Caenorhabditis elegans: one gene and its partner. The protein of the gene in region 1 interacts with the protein of each later gene in a pairwise test. Each region holds a gene or a part of one and is shown on either strand. Other genes may lie near its edges.

Region 1 (6,692 bases):
GCGCTCTATCGAAATTGAAAATGTTTTAATGGCGGAGATTTGAATAAAGGTTTTCAGTGTAGCAAATTTTAATAAATTTCAATGTATTTGGAACATCTGTATTTCAATGTATTTGGAACATCTGTATAGTTTTTGACATGTTTCACATGTAGTTCTGTACGAATCATATTCTGCTTGATCCATAACAGCTTCTGCTGCTTTACCACTACCATATCCACCACCAACTCCACCTGTGATACCACCCACAATCCCTCCAACAATAGTTCCAATTCCTGGACAAATTGCAGTTCCAATTGCAGCACCTTAAAATATTCAGCTTCTTCAAAATTTCAGATTTAAATGGAAAGAACACCTGCAAGTGCTCCACCAAATCCAATACCGTACGTGGCTACTGTAGTGGTCACTTTCTTAACAGTATTCCTACTTGTCCCTCTCCTTTTATCTTTTTCCACGTTTTTCCCAATTTGATAAGCATCGTATTCAACTGCAGCAACTTGTAAAACTGGAGCAGCTTGCGCGATCGTTGTGAGACCCTCTCCGCCAATTGTTCCAGCTGTTTGAGCTCCAGCTGATGATATGTGAACTGCTGCACCAGCTGGATCTTGAGTTAACTAAATTGTTTCTGTGAGCATTGTTAATAATTGTTCCATACCATGTTCCCTTCATCTTCTTTCTTTTTCTTTTTTCTCTTTTTATTTCTCTCATTTGAATTTTCATCTGCACTTCTTGCCATTTCAATTTGAGTGTTTGTTTTCTAGAAATAATTTATTTATGATTCAAAATCTTGTTGAGACACGCGAAAATGTGAAGATAATAATAACAAAGGTAAGAATTAAATGCATAATTTGAAGTTTGAGATGGACTTTGAATCTTTTCCGCCAAAATTGCACATAATTTGGTAGCAGCGTCGTTGCTCAGAACAATTTGAAGTTGGCAGCTACAAACTCCTTGTGCTTCTTCGTACTTCTTCCAATCATAATCTTTTCCACATTCTTTACAGGTTAACGTTGTGACATCATATTTCACGTGAGTTAGAATTTGTTCTGAAGCTGTCTCGGCAACATGTCCACCGAATAATCCCCCGGCAATTCCACCAATGATTCCTCCGAAAATCGTTCCAATACCAGGAAAGATTGCCGATCCGATGGAACTTCCTGTAATAAAGTTTTTGTAAAAAATTCTACTGAATCTTTTAAAATTACAACACTTACCGGCCAATGCTGCAGCAGATGCACTTGCATAAGTTGTCGCCGTGGTTGCCACTGTTTTTATAGTATTTCGTGTGGTTCCGTGATGATAATCCTTCTTAACCTCTTTTCCAACTTGATACATTTCGTAAATCACAGCGGCAGTCGTCAAAATTGGAGCAATTTTATTTGCTTTCTCAGCAACATCTCCAAGAACTCCAGCAGTTTTGGCAGTGGAGAGATAGGAAGATGTGGATCCTTGAGTCCAGTAACTGCCTTGTTGATGTTGATGTGATGGAAATCCACTTTTCCATGAGGGCGATCGAATCTGATCCACCATTTCGGATTTCCGCGAGAAGATATTTTAGTTTTGTCGAAAATGTTCAAAATATTTGATTTTCTACCCGAGGTTTTAATCAAATATTTGACCGCATTTCTTCTTATTGCAGTGACGCCTCCTTTTATTCCATATTCAGTCGGATTATTCAGAAAATTTGAGTATTCAATTTTAACAAAGAAAAAAAGGTATATGTTCAACTTTTATAATTCTTCTTAAAAAAAGATTCCTTTTTAGAAAAGGAGATTTTAAAACTCACCGATTTACCACTTTGATCATTTGTTGTGGGTTTCCCTTTATTGTCGTTTGAACTACTCATATTTCTGGAAAATGTAAATTTAGCAAAAATAATGTGCACAAAATTGAAAAGTGTTCGCAGACCGAAAATCGAAAGTTGCTATTTTATTTAGGCTGAGCTAATAGACGTTGTCCAAAAGGATTACACACTATTGTTTCTCACATTTCGTCGTCTCCGTTCTTCAGATCGCCGATAATTATCGATTATTCTCTCACGTGTAAATATTTTCAGGAAATATTTGGCACACCACACTATTAATGAAATGTCAATTTAAACTAAATTTCAAACAATTTATTAGCTTATGGGTGCCAAAGTGAAAATGTGAAGATAATAAGAATAAGAGTGAAAATCGAATATCGGAATTAAAAATCATGATTTGTTTCGAGCTTTTTGAACCAATAATCCACGGAATCCTGCCTCTTGTTGTTGAATCTTGTACCTGAAAAAGTACCAACTTATGATTTTCGAAAATGCGTTTTCCATTAAAATTGTTTTATCAGAATAGCACTCACAACAGGTTCCTTCAATCTCTTGATACTTTTTCCATGTGTATTCTTCATCACATCCATCACAAACGAACGTTACAACGTCCCATTTAACATGATTCAACGCATTTTCTGTTGCCACGTGACTGTAGTGACCACCAAAATGTCCACCAACAATTCCTCCGACGACAGCCCCGAAAATCGTTCCTAATCCGGGAAAAATTGATGTTCCAATCACACTTCCTGTAAAAAAACAATTAAATGAAAATAAAAACCGAGTAGAAATAAATACCAGCATAAGCTCCAATGGATCCACTGGAATAAGTTCCACTCGTCGCAGCCAATGTTTTGATTGTATTTCTTGTCGTCCCATGATTCATATCCTTGTGGACTTCTTGTCCAACTCGGTAGGCTTCGTAGATCATTGCCGCTGTCGTGAGCAGTGGCGCGACATCATTTGCTTTTTCTGCAACTTTTCCAAGCACTCCAATAGTTTTGGCAGTAGTCGGTGTGAGTGGAATATGAGGATCCTTCAGTCCAGTCACTGCTTTGTTGATGTTAATGTGATGGAAATCAACATTTCCATGAGGTCGGTCGAATCGGATCCACCATCTCGGATTTCCAAGGCTCGATTTGTTCGTTTTGTCGAAGATGTTTAGAATATTTGATGACCGTCCGACTGTACTGATCACGTAGTGACTCGCATTTCTACTCAGTGCAGCGATTCCTCCTCTGAAGCCGTGTCCAGAAGGTTCCAGCTGAAAAGACAAAAAAATACTCTTTTCAGAAACAAAAGCGTTACCTCTTCGTTTTCTTCCGATGAGCTATCATACCAGCTTCTTGCATTTTTCGCAGCTTCAGAAATAGCCTACAATAAAAAGTATATGTTTGAAAATTATATTTATTTACAGGGTAACTTACCGATGTTGCCGTTGATGCAGTTTCCGAATTCCAAGCGGAAGTTGCCGCTTCTCCGATCGATTTCGTGGCAGACGTCGAAAAATCCTTCACGGTCTATAAACATTTTTAATGAGAATTTTTGAACAATTTGAATTTCATATTTCGCTTTTTTTTGCAATAAGAAAAAGAAAACAACATTTAAAATCTATTCATTCGTTTTTTAAAATTATATTTCAAAAATAATTTTTTTAATTACTGTAATTACTGGAAAGGCAAATTTCTCTGAGAAATGCCTCAATACGAAAACGCATTTTTGTTATTTCTATTTTCGATTTTTTTTTTCAATGAAAATTGTATATGCTGACCGCTGACGTCGATGCGGCAAACTCCGAGTTCCATGCAGATGTGGTGGCATTATTAATTGATGTAGCGGCAGACGAAGAGAAATTTTTCACGGACTGCAATAATATATTATCGTTAATTGTAATAAAATGAATTATTACCGTCCAATATCCATTAACTTCGGGCTTTTGTTCGTCGGAGCTCATTCTGAAACAAAATTCATTGATGTTGAAAAATAGCTTTTCAAAGAGAGAACCAAATGTGTAAAAATCGATAACAACGAGGGGAGAGACAAAATGAAATTGTGAAAGTTAACATTAGCAAGGTGAGATCGATTCAGGTCGTTTGATGAGGTGCAGATCAACGAATTAAATGCAAAAATAATGTAAAAATTGTTTTAAAAGCTATAATTTTAGAAAATCAGCGAGCAAACAGGAAATCGAAGAGAATAATTGGATTAAAACCCGAAATTTTCTTTAAAATTTTCTACAGTAATCTTAAAGGCGCATATACCAAACTGTTCCGCGTGGCGAGACCCATCCAAAGAAATTCGTCTCCCTCCTTCTTAATTTTGACAAGATTACGGTTTATATTTTCTGAATTAGTATTAAAATGTTAATTCACTTTTAAATGAAATTTGATTTATAAAAAGGCCTTTGAAAGCTTGTTGTTCGTTTGATAAAACAACTTTGAATTGGGATTGATGAATGAAAACTTTAAAAATGAAAAACCAAACGTCCGGTTTTCAAGCCTGAGTTACTGTAGCTTCTTTCTTAAAACATATTAAGCTCCCTGTATGTTTATTTACTTTTACCTTTTCCTCGCCGCTTTCATACTTATCTCGTGAAAATCAAATTGTTGAAAATTCTCAGTCATTCCCCGTCTCCTTTTTCTTATCCGCCTTCATTTTAATTAATTGTGTTGCGGCAAATTGGACTCAACAAATCAGTTGCCTCAATCTGAATGCCCCGTTTGACACAATTAAAATACCTATTTTGGCGGTGCGGTACGTGTGAAGATTCTCTCATTAAAGGGGAAATAACATCCAAATCGCAAGGGAATGTATTCAGATTAATATCTACCGTATCGATCCGGAGAGAGACGAGCATTCTGCATGTTAAAATAATTGAAAGGAAGGTTATGGTGGATGATTGATGAGATGTTTGAAAATGGTGAGATGTTTGACAAGAAGTTGCGCAATGTTTACGTTGAGCTTGTCCATATTATACGTCAAGCCGGATATGACACCCAGAGGATCAGGATTACTGTAGTTATTTATATTTGCAGATTTTATTAGTGTCTCACACGTGGATATATAGCATGGATATTAATTTCAGAAACAAATAATAAAATATGTGTTTTTTTTTTCAAAAACGCATTCAATTTGGGTTTTTTAAAAATTTCAGTCAATCTTTTGGTAAATTGCCAAATTGTCCAAAAATGTAGACTTTTGAGAAGTATCGAGCAATGCTACAGGTTCTAACTACTGGAATTTTCATACAAATATTTGAAACGCAATTTCAGTTAAAAAAAATTATACCACAAGTTTTTGGCCGACTTCCAAAAATTATGATCAGTGAAAATAAACTTAACAAATTTCAAAAAGTTTTACTATGAGATTTGGGTGTTTGAGCAGTTTCGGAGTAGTTTTAAACAATTTCCTTACCAAAGATACACCTTCAAAGGCGCATAAAATGTATTCGAAAGGCCTCGCCACGAGAAAAAAATTCTGATACCGTATTTCTTCTAGTACGCAACTACGTTACTTTGAAAGGATATATCTTGGTTCGTTTAAAAAATATCAATAAATTTTAAACTAAAAAATGTAGAAAAACATATAGCAAGTGTTTTGTTTTGTCAGTTGACCGTTTTTCAATAAAACAAATACCAACTGATATGAGCTGTCAAAGTTGAGCAATGGGGTGCAATTGGTACTTTTTTTTCGAATTTAAGATGCCAAGATAAAGGATAACAACAAGCGCTCGCCATAAAAATTAAAGCTCCAATATAAACTATTTTCGTGGCAAGACCCACACGATTCAGATTGTAAAGTTAATATAATATATCCTCCTGAATCCGAGACCCTTCTCCCTGTAAACTATTCTTCACTTATCCATGCACTTCCAATCTGCAAAATCTCGTCATCTACATCATTGAGAGGATTGTGATGATGAATAACGGTTACGTGTCATCGACCGTTGCATAACCTTTCCTCGCCTACCACTGTCCTCTCATCATCATGATTTTATTACCATAACATTGACTGGTTTATGCTTCATTTACGGCTGGATGCGCGAAATCTGTCTGAGTGAGACAATTGACTGATTTAAGACTGTTTATCAGAGAAGTGTAAAAGAAGGAAAAGATAAGAGAATGATGATATATGTAGGTGAAGAATCTGGATATCTGTTCTAGAAAATCGAGGTTGTTACGGTAGTTTTTCTGTAGGCCGAGATTTTTGTAATATGACTAATCTTCTTCTCGAATATTGAGACTTAAAAAACACAAAGAAAAATTGAATAATAATTAAAATGTTGTTTTTCTTTTAAGTGTTGTTTTTAAATTATAATAATACACTGCAATTGAATAATTCTAAGAAGGCCTTTTTATCAAGCAAGTCAAGATGCACCATGTGGTCTTCCAGATGAGTTACACCAGCCTTGTAGGCAGGCAGGCACGCAAGCATATTTCGATGTAATAATAAGAACGCTATGAAAGATCAATCAATTGTCATAACTGAACCAATCAGAAACATTTGTGTTCTACCGTATCATACCTGTTCTCATCCAATTAATGAAAAGATGCGCCAATTTGTGTATATGACACCCTTCTCCTTTCTATCAAAACTAATTAAGGGGAGGCCGAAAAAGGGGAGAAATGACTTGCCTCAAATGTTGAATATTCTTTCTTCAATTGAAAAATATAATTGAAATTTAAGAGACTCTCCTGATGATCATACAAAAGATCTAATCTTGAAGCGGCCCGTGCGAGGGCTCGACATTGCTGTGTCTCTCAAAAAGGTACGGTATTTCTGTGTTTCACTGTCTTTGAAGTGTTGAAAGGCCCAATTTCAGATGACAATCTTCGTCTTTTCCCCCCTTTTTGCTGTCTTACTGTCTTAATCAATTTGCCGTTTTTTTTTG
Region 2 (7,032 bases), on another chromosome or scaffold:
ATGTTTTGCAAAAATAAGTGAAAGAAGTGAAAAAAAATTCGAAAAGTTAACATGTTTGACACAGTTATGATTAGTCGGTGTTGTATCCTTCAGAACTAAATCCGTACTGACAAAGGCAGTTTAACCTTCGGAGAAATAGGGAGAGACGTAGAAGCGCAGTGTGCGTGAGTAAGAGATTGTTGTGAGTGAGGAGGAGACATATATTTTTTGCTGGTCATTGGGAGGTTACATGAAAGACGGTTTGAGCTCGGTCTACCCTAATCAGGCCCTGGGCTGGGTCTTTCGAAAACCAACAAATACCTACCAAAAAAAAGGTGTTGTAACAAAAAACTACCAGGCTAAATGTTATGAAACTCACCACAGTCGTAGATCTTAACCCACAAAATCAGACAACAACTTCCGGTTAAATTTTTCTTGTGACAGAATTTCAGTGCAACAACTTTTTTCGTTTTTATTTATTTTATTTTTTTGGTTTCAAGAAAACCAAACAAACTTTTTTTTAGGAGTTTGCAAGAGATTATACCATATGTACTTCTGAATGAAAAATTATTCTTGATAACACGAGTTTCTAAAATTTGAAAAAATTGATATGCAGCGAAAAAAATTACGAATTTTGACCTTTTTTATTCACCTCATTCCTACATTTGAGTGATAATTATGCACGCAACCCTGAAATGACAGCAGAAAAATCTTCTACCTCTTCGTTTGCAACGATCTCTCACACATGCACACTATGCATTTCTACGTCTCTCATTATTTCTCGGAAATCGACTATTTGAATATTTTTCCGATTTCTTTCAGAAGTAGCCTTAAAGAAGTACATTTTAAAAAAATGAAGGGCGTTAAAAATTATGAAAACGCTTTTCTCCACTATTGCCCATACAGAGAGTGTAGTCAATTGTAGAGAGATAGACATCCCGGGACCCAAGAGGCAGGTCGGGGGAAGAGTAAAAAATTGTAAATCGATACAAACCGTTTCTTCCCTCCACTTTGGGTCTCGAGGTGTCTGTGTTTCTTCAACTTTTTGTTTTTAATTTCGTAGCTAGAAGTTTAGAACACTTTTAAATAGTACAGATTTTCATTCATGTGTTTGAAAAACTAGTACAACCCGAGCATATTTTCAGGTTGGCAATATCGTGGTAAGAACGCGTGCAGCATTTGCAAGAAATCTGAGAGTTATCATGCCAACGGGAAACATGGATGAACTGCCATCAGATTTGCGAGATCCAGCCAGAGTTTTTGGGGTTGGCACATTTTAAGAAGCTATCGAAGTGATCAAGAAATTAGCTAGAGAGAATCAGAACTGCTAGAAATTTCAATAAACTTGAATTTTGAATTTTTGTGTTTTTGTACTTTTGTTGTTGAAAAAATTAAGGAAAACCTGATGGAAAAACGAGAATGGCTGGACTTATAGTGCGAAATATTTCCTCGCAACTTTCTACTGTATCATTGAAAAATAACAACAAGTTTGGAATTTAATTATATCTCGAAGCGAAAACTACAGTAATTCTTTAAATGACTACTGTAGCGCTCTTGTGTCGATTTACGGGCTCGTGTATTTCTCGATAGAATATTAAATTAGAGGCCCCACCAAAACAGAATGCAACTCAAAACAGGATTCACCAAAACAGGATGCAAGGGCGGAGCCTATTTCGCAACAACCGCGCATGCTTTTCCCGCAAGCCTCGCACGTTTTTTCCTTGATGTTGTTGCATTTTTTAAAGAGAAAAAACGTGCGAGGCTTGCGGAAAAAGCATGCGGTGGTTGCGAAATAGGCTCCGCCCCTGTATCCTGTTTTGAGTTGCATTCCGTTTTGGTGGGGCCTCTTAAATTAAATCGAAAAGAAAATCTGAGCCCGTAAATCGACCTACAGTAATCATTTAAAGAATTACTGCAGTTTTCGCTGCGAGATATTTTGCGCGTCAAATATGTTGTGCAGTACGCAGGTTTTTATTCCAATATCTTCCAGGTTCTAATGCTTCCAATCACTCTGGAGATATGATTGTCCTGCAGCTTGTCAGAAATCTGTGGCAAGAGCTCGGAGAGCAAAACTGACGGGAATTCGAAGATCACGAGGAGATGAAGAGCCTCGAGATATATGGAGGGGAAAAAAGTTTATCGGAAAATTTTTATACATGCTCAATATACATGTTTAGTTTACAAGTGATACCAGCATTCGGGAGAGGGGGGAGAGAAAATTAGCAGTAAATTGTGGGAATTTAGTTTTGAAGATTCAGGCGGCACGGTTGAGAATGACGTTGGCGGATGGTACCAAATCTGAAAATTTTAAAAAAAAATTAGAGAATGAACATTTTTTTGGTCTCAAAAAACCAAAATTCATAACGAAACTTTTCAAATTTTTATTTATTTTTTTCGAAAAAATGGCCCAATTACAGCAGAAATCTATATATTTTAGCGTTTTTTTCGTTGATTTAGGCACATTTAAAGTCAAATTGCACCATACTGCTCCAATATTTAAAAATTAGTGTCAAAATATAGAAAATCAGTTGATTTTTCTGAAAATAATACTTAATTTAACTGAAAAATTCGAAAGTGCTCAAAAATTGCCTTACAATTGACAATTCGTGACTTCTAGGCCATTTTTGAGCACTTTTTCAGATTCTTCAGTTAAATTGAGTCTTTTTGCTGAAGAAGGACAAAAATCGAATAAAAATAAATTTCCGGCAGCTGTGAACAGGAAAAGTTGGCGAAATAGCTGAAAATCGTCCACTTTTTTTTTCGAAAATTTCCAAGTTTCATCATGAAATCCGGCCTTTTTGAGCAAAACTCACTGAGAACTTTGAGCGGTGTTCCCATATCATCCTCGGTGAACACTTTGCGGGGGAATGGGGTCATCAGGGTGAACGGAACACCGTTTGCGTGATTAGTTTCGACCCAGGCGCGGACCATTGCGAGCTGAAAAATTAATTCAAGGGAGTCGAGAATATTTAAATTACCGGCTCATTAGCTTCAAACTGTTGTCTAACAGTTTGTCCATCGAGAAGTCGGAATTGAAGAGTTGTAGTTGAGTAGTCTTTTGGCGGAGCAACTGGAGCTGCAGACGGAGCAGGCTTTGCCTCTGGAACCGGTTGGCCTGAAGCTTTTGCCTTACGGGCTTCCTTGTCAAGCCGGATTTGCTCGAGAACTCGTTTTCTGGCGATTTCGTCTTCGTTCTTTTCGCGGCGACGATCTTGAGCGGCTTCTCTGCAAATTGGGAATATTATTATTTAAATTCAATGGAAAACAGTTTTCTAACCGAATTTCACGATCTCTGGCGGCTTCTTTATGGCTGATCATGGCTTTTCCATCCTCACGACGCTTTTTCTCCTTCTCACGATTCTCTTCGGCCTCGAGCTTTGCCTTTTTGGCCTGATGGACTTTGATTTTTTCTCGGATTTCCAGGACTTTTGCGGCCTTTTCCTCTGCAGTGAGAGGCTTGATAGCTTCCGAGCTTTCGCTGAAATTCTCGTGCTTTGTCTTCGAAGCGTGGAACATGATAGCATCATCGTTGGCGAGAAGCTTTCCGCAGCTGGAAAAAAAAATTTGGAGAAATAATTAATAAGAATCGTAGGGGGGAAAAACTCACTCATCACACTTAAAACTGGCGGCTACCGGGGGTGCACCACTGTCAGCGGCTCCTGGAGCAGCTTGAGCTGGAGCATCTGTCTCCATTGGTACACCGGCTCCGTCCTTCTCAATCCAATCCAACGCCTGATCGAGATTTCTGTTGTTTCCGGCGGCGGCCTCGGCTTTGTCGGCTGGGAAGCCCATATCCATGAGTTGTTGGGCGATCGACATTGTTATTCTGGAAAGAAATGCGACAATTTGGCGAAAAACTAGATTTTTTCTCATTTTCCAGAAGAATTTTGGGATTTTTTACGAAATAAGCTGTTCAAAACAGTGATATATTAACAATAAAGTGGTTTAATTAATAAAAAACCTTAAGAAATGCGTTTAAATCAGAAAATTCAGATAATAAATGGACTGGAACACTTTTTCTAGCCAAGAACACAAAGAGAATGCTGACTTTCTTTAAAGGCGCACGCATTTAATCGATCGGGTCTCGACGCGATTCAGCCGATTTTGTCGGCGCGTTGTTTGAAAATAGTTTTTTAAACGCTAAGATTTTTGCATTTTTTTTCGTTTTCTGCACGAAAACCTAGAAATTTCGATCGAAAATCAACTTTTTTTCCAGAAAAATGGACGAAATGGAAGATTTCTTCGAAAATGATGAATTGGATCGAGAGCCAAGCCCTATGGGAGACGAAGCAATCGAAGGTATCTAGAATTTCGTGTGAGAAATCGGGTTTTAATTAAAGTTTTGTTCAGATAACAGCGGCGAGGGAGGCACTAGACGAGTCGTGGAGCCGAAATTGTTAAGGACTAAAAGACTAGCAGTAAAACGCTTATTTTCTATGATTTATTTAAATTTTTTCAAACTTTAGAATCCACGCCTAGCACTGAATGAGCGAATTTTGACCGGGCCGAAAGGAATTTCAGCTCTTCGGGAGACTTTAAAAGATTTCAAGCCAAATCCCAAGGATGATCCGGTAAATTTGAAAGTTAAAAAATACAATAATTTTCCCTTTTCAGTACGCAAATCTGGAGAAATTGATGAAAAAATACGCATACTGGGGACATTTGATGTTTCCGAAGATGAAAACCGAAGATGTTCTGAATCGAGTCGAGACACTGGGAACACGGCGGCAGGTTAAAGTTTTCATGATCAAGCACCGGCTTGGAGAGACTGGCGAGGATTCTGAGCACGAGGAGCAGGAGAATCAAAAGAATGGAATTATTGATGATGGAGCGAGTGATAATGACGATGATTTATTCAAGGATTTACCAGAGAAAGGTTGCAAAATTTATCCAAACTTGTTATTAGAAAATCAAAAAATCTTTCAATTTCAGAAGTCACGACTGAAAAAGCTAAAAATTCTGAAAAATCCGACCAAAAAACCGCTGAAATTGATGAAAATGTCGAGGAAGAGTATCGAATGATGGAGGAAGAGCGGCTGCGAGAGGAACAGGAAGCCAAGGAAGCTGCTGACGAAGATGCTCTTATGGAAGATTTCGGTGATATGAATAACGATTGGTGATAGAGCAATTAATTTTTTTTAATTTCACGTGTATTTTATATTTTTATGAACTTTTCTTTGTTCTCGAATTTTCCAAAGCGTGAGACCTTTTTTTTATCGAATAAAACTACATTCCTTATTGTTATGACATGTCAACGCCAACACTCTCTCCGTCTACAGAAAAGTTGATTCCGATGTGAGTTTCTGGAGGTCAAAAATTCGAGTTTTTCTTGATTTTCGCCGTTTTTCCAACGAATATTCTCAAAATATTGGAATTCCGCGGAAGAAAAATCAGGAAAAATTGCGAAATCGGCAAAAATTTCCACCGTACCCCTTTAAAAGCGCACGGCTCGCTTTAAAAAGTAACAATCGTGCCAGGACCTTTGAGTGAAATGAGGAGTGCGCCTTTAAGAAAGTACGGTCTTTTTCAGATTATTTCGCAATTTTTCCGGGTTTCCTGTTATTTTTCGAAAGAGAATCGAAATTTAATTAGAAAATCTGATTGTGAAATTGATTGCAAAAGACACAGTAATCGCCTAAAGGCGCATGGGCTTTCTGCTCCCTCAGAAAAACTTTACAGGCCTAGTTTGAGACTAAAAACCTTTGAATTTCTGTAGAATTGGACTAAGCGTGTCTGGAACATTCTCACCTCGTCCAATTGCCACCACCGCTCACTCGGTTGTCTTCAAAGTGGATTCGCAGCTTTATCGTCGAGAAGTGATTGTGAAAATCGTGGATCGAAAATCGATTCCGGCAAACGTGGCGGAGAAATTCTTCCCGCGCGAATTGGAGATCACCATGAAGGTTCGACATCCACATATTGCGCGGTGCCTGGCGATCACACGACCAGCGCCGACGAAATTCGTGATTATTTCGGATTACTATGAACGTGGCACACTTCTCGAGTGGATTCTCCAGAAGAAACGTTTGAAAGGTGAGGGTGTGGTGAAACACGTGCTCGCTGGCTGTCTCTTTGCATAATCTCGGCCACGTTGAAACATTTTATTCCAGAGCACCCATTAGCAGCCACACTATTCCGTCAACTCATCGAAGCGATCAATTATCTTCACAAAAGAGGAATAGTACATCGAGATGTGAAATTGGAAAATATTCTAATCGACGGAAATGGGGATATTAAGCTCATCGATTTCGGATTTGCAAGACACATTGAACGACGTGAACGGTCTCGATCATTCTGTGGAACTCAGCCCTACACATGCCCGCAAATCACAAAATATCGGCCTTATGAAGCCTACGCGGCGGACTATTATGCTTGTGGAATAGTGCTTTTTACGATGGTCACTGGAAAATGGCCGGTGCGTTGGGTTGTACATCTTCGCCTTGGCAGTTTGTTTACAAGACGTGTTGCATCGATAATGAGTTCAACTTTGGACGCTCATATCTCGATTTTCTTTGCAGTTATTAAAAAATTGTCAACTGACAGAATAATAAGCATACAATTTTCTATAATTTTGTAGTTGAAAATTTTTTTATAACTACAAAATGAACGGAGATATGGAATTCCAAAGTATAGTGAAGCACATGGTGCATCGATAACAAGTAGCACACTCAACTTTGAAAGCTCATTTCTCAATTTTCTTTGCAGTTATCAAAAACCCGTCAACTAGCAAAATATTAAAATATTGCGCATATGATTTTCTATAGTTTTGTAATTTATAAGTTTTTGATAGCTATAAAATTCACCGAGATATGGGCGGTCAAAAGTGATTTAGCCTCATGGTGCATCTACAAAATGGGTTTACTCAACTTTGAAAGCTTATATCTCGGATGTCATTGCAGTTATCAAAAAACTGTCAACTGAGAAAATGTTGAACATTTAATTTTCTATAGATTTGTAGTTGAAAATTTTTTGATAGCTACAAAATAAACCGAGATATTGACTGTCAAAGACATGGTGCATCAACCGAGTGAGGTCTCTCAACTTTGAAAGCTC

Evidence for each region.
Region 2: the proteins of C13G5.2 (region 1) and ubxn-1 interact in a two-hybrid assay, tested with the Caenorhabditis elegans proteins (one large-scale study listed by BioGRID).

What each region holds. Positions count from the first base shown.
Region 1 is NC_003281.10:8,614,684-8,621,375, forward strand, and holds C13G5.2 (uncharacterized protein), read right to left. Parts: upstream 3,780-6,692; 5' UTR 3,756-3,779; coding exon 3,711-3,755; intron 3,666-3,710; coding exon 3,573-3,665; intron 3,322-3,572; coding exon 3,229-3,321; intron 3,176-3,228; coding exon 3,110-3,175; intron 3,066-3,109; coding exon 2,600-3,065; intron 2,551-2,599; coding exon 2,335-2,550; intron 2,262-2,334; coding exon 2,185-2,261; 3' UTR 2,091-2,184; downstream 1-2,090. Other genes in the region: C06E1.11 (uncharacterized protein), read right to left, coding at 766-1,154, 1,212-1,527.
Region 2 is NC_003279.8:2,430,777-2,437,808, reverse strand, and holds ubxn-1 (UBX domain-containing protein 1), read right to left. Parts: upstream 3,808-7,032; 5' UTR 3,799-3,807; coding exon 3,587-3,798; intron 3,530-3,586; coding exon 3,257-3,529; intron 3,205-3,256; coding exon 2,958-3,204; intron 2,917-2,957; coding exon 2,793-2,916; intron 2,278-2,792; coding exon 2,234-2,277; 3' UTR 2,118-2,233; downstream 1-2,117. Other genes in the region: F23C8.14 (Lon proteolytic domain-containing protein), read left to right, coding at 725-817, 1,125-1,259; tipn-1 (Protein TIPIN homolog), read left to right, coding at 4,200-4,278, 4,330-4,397, 4,446-4,550, 4,594-4,855, 4,912-5,099; F23C8.8 (Protein kinase domain-containing protein), read left to right, coding at 5,228-5,274, 5,696-6,012, 6,090-6,394. UniProt on the Caenorhabditis elegans protein: Ubiquitin-binding protein which acts as an adapter for ATPase cdc-48.1 and/or cdc-48.2, conferring substrate specificity.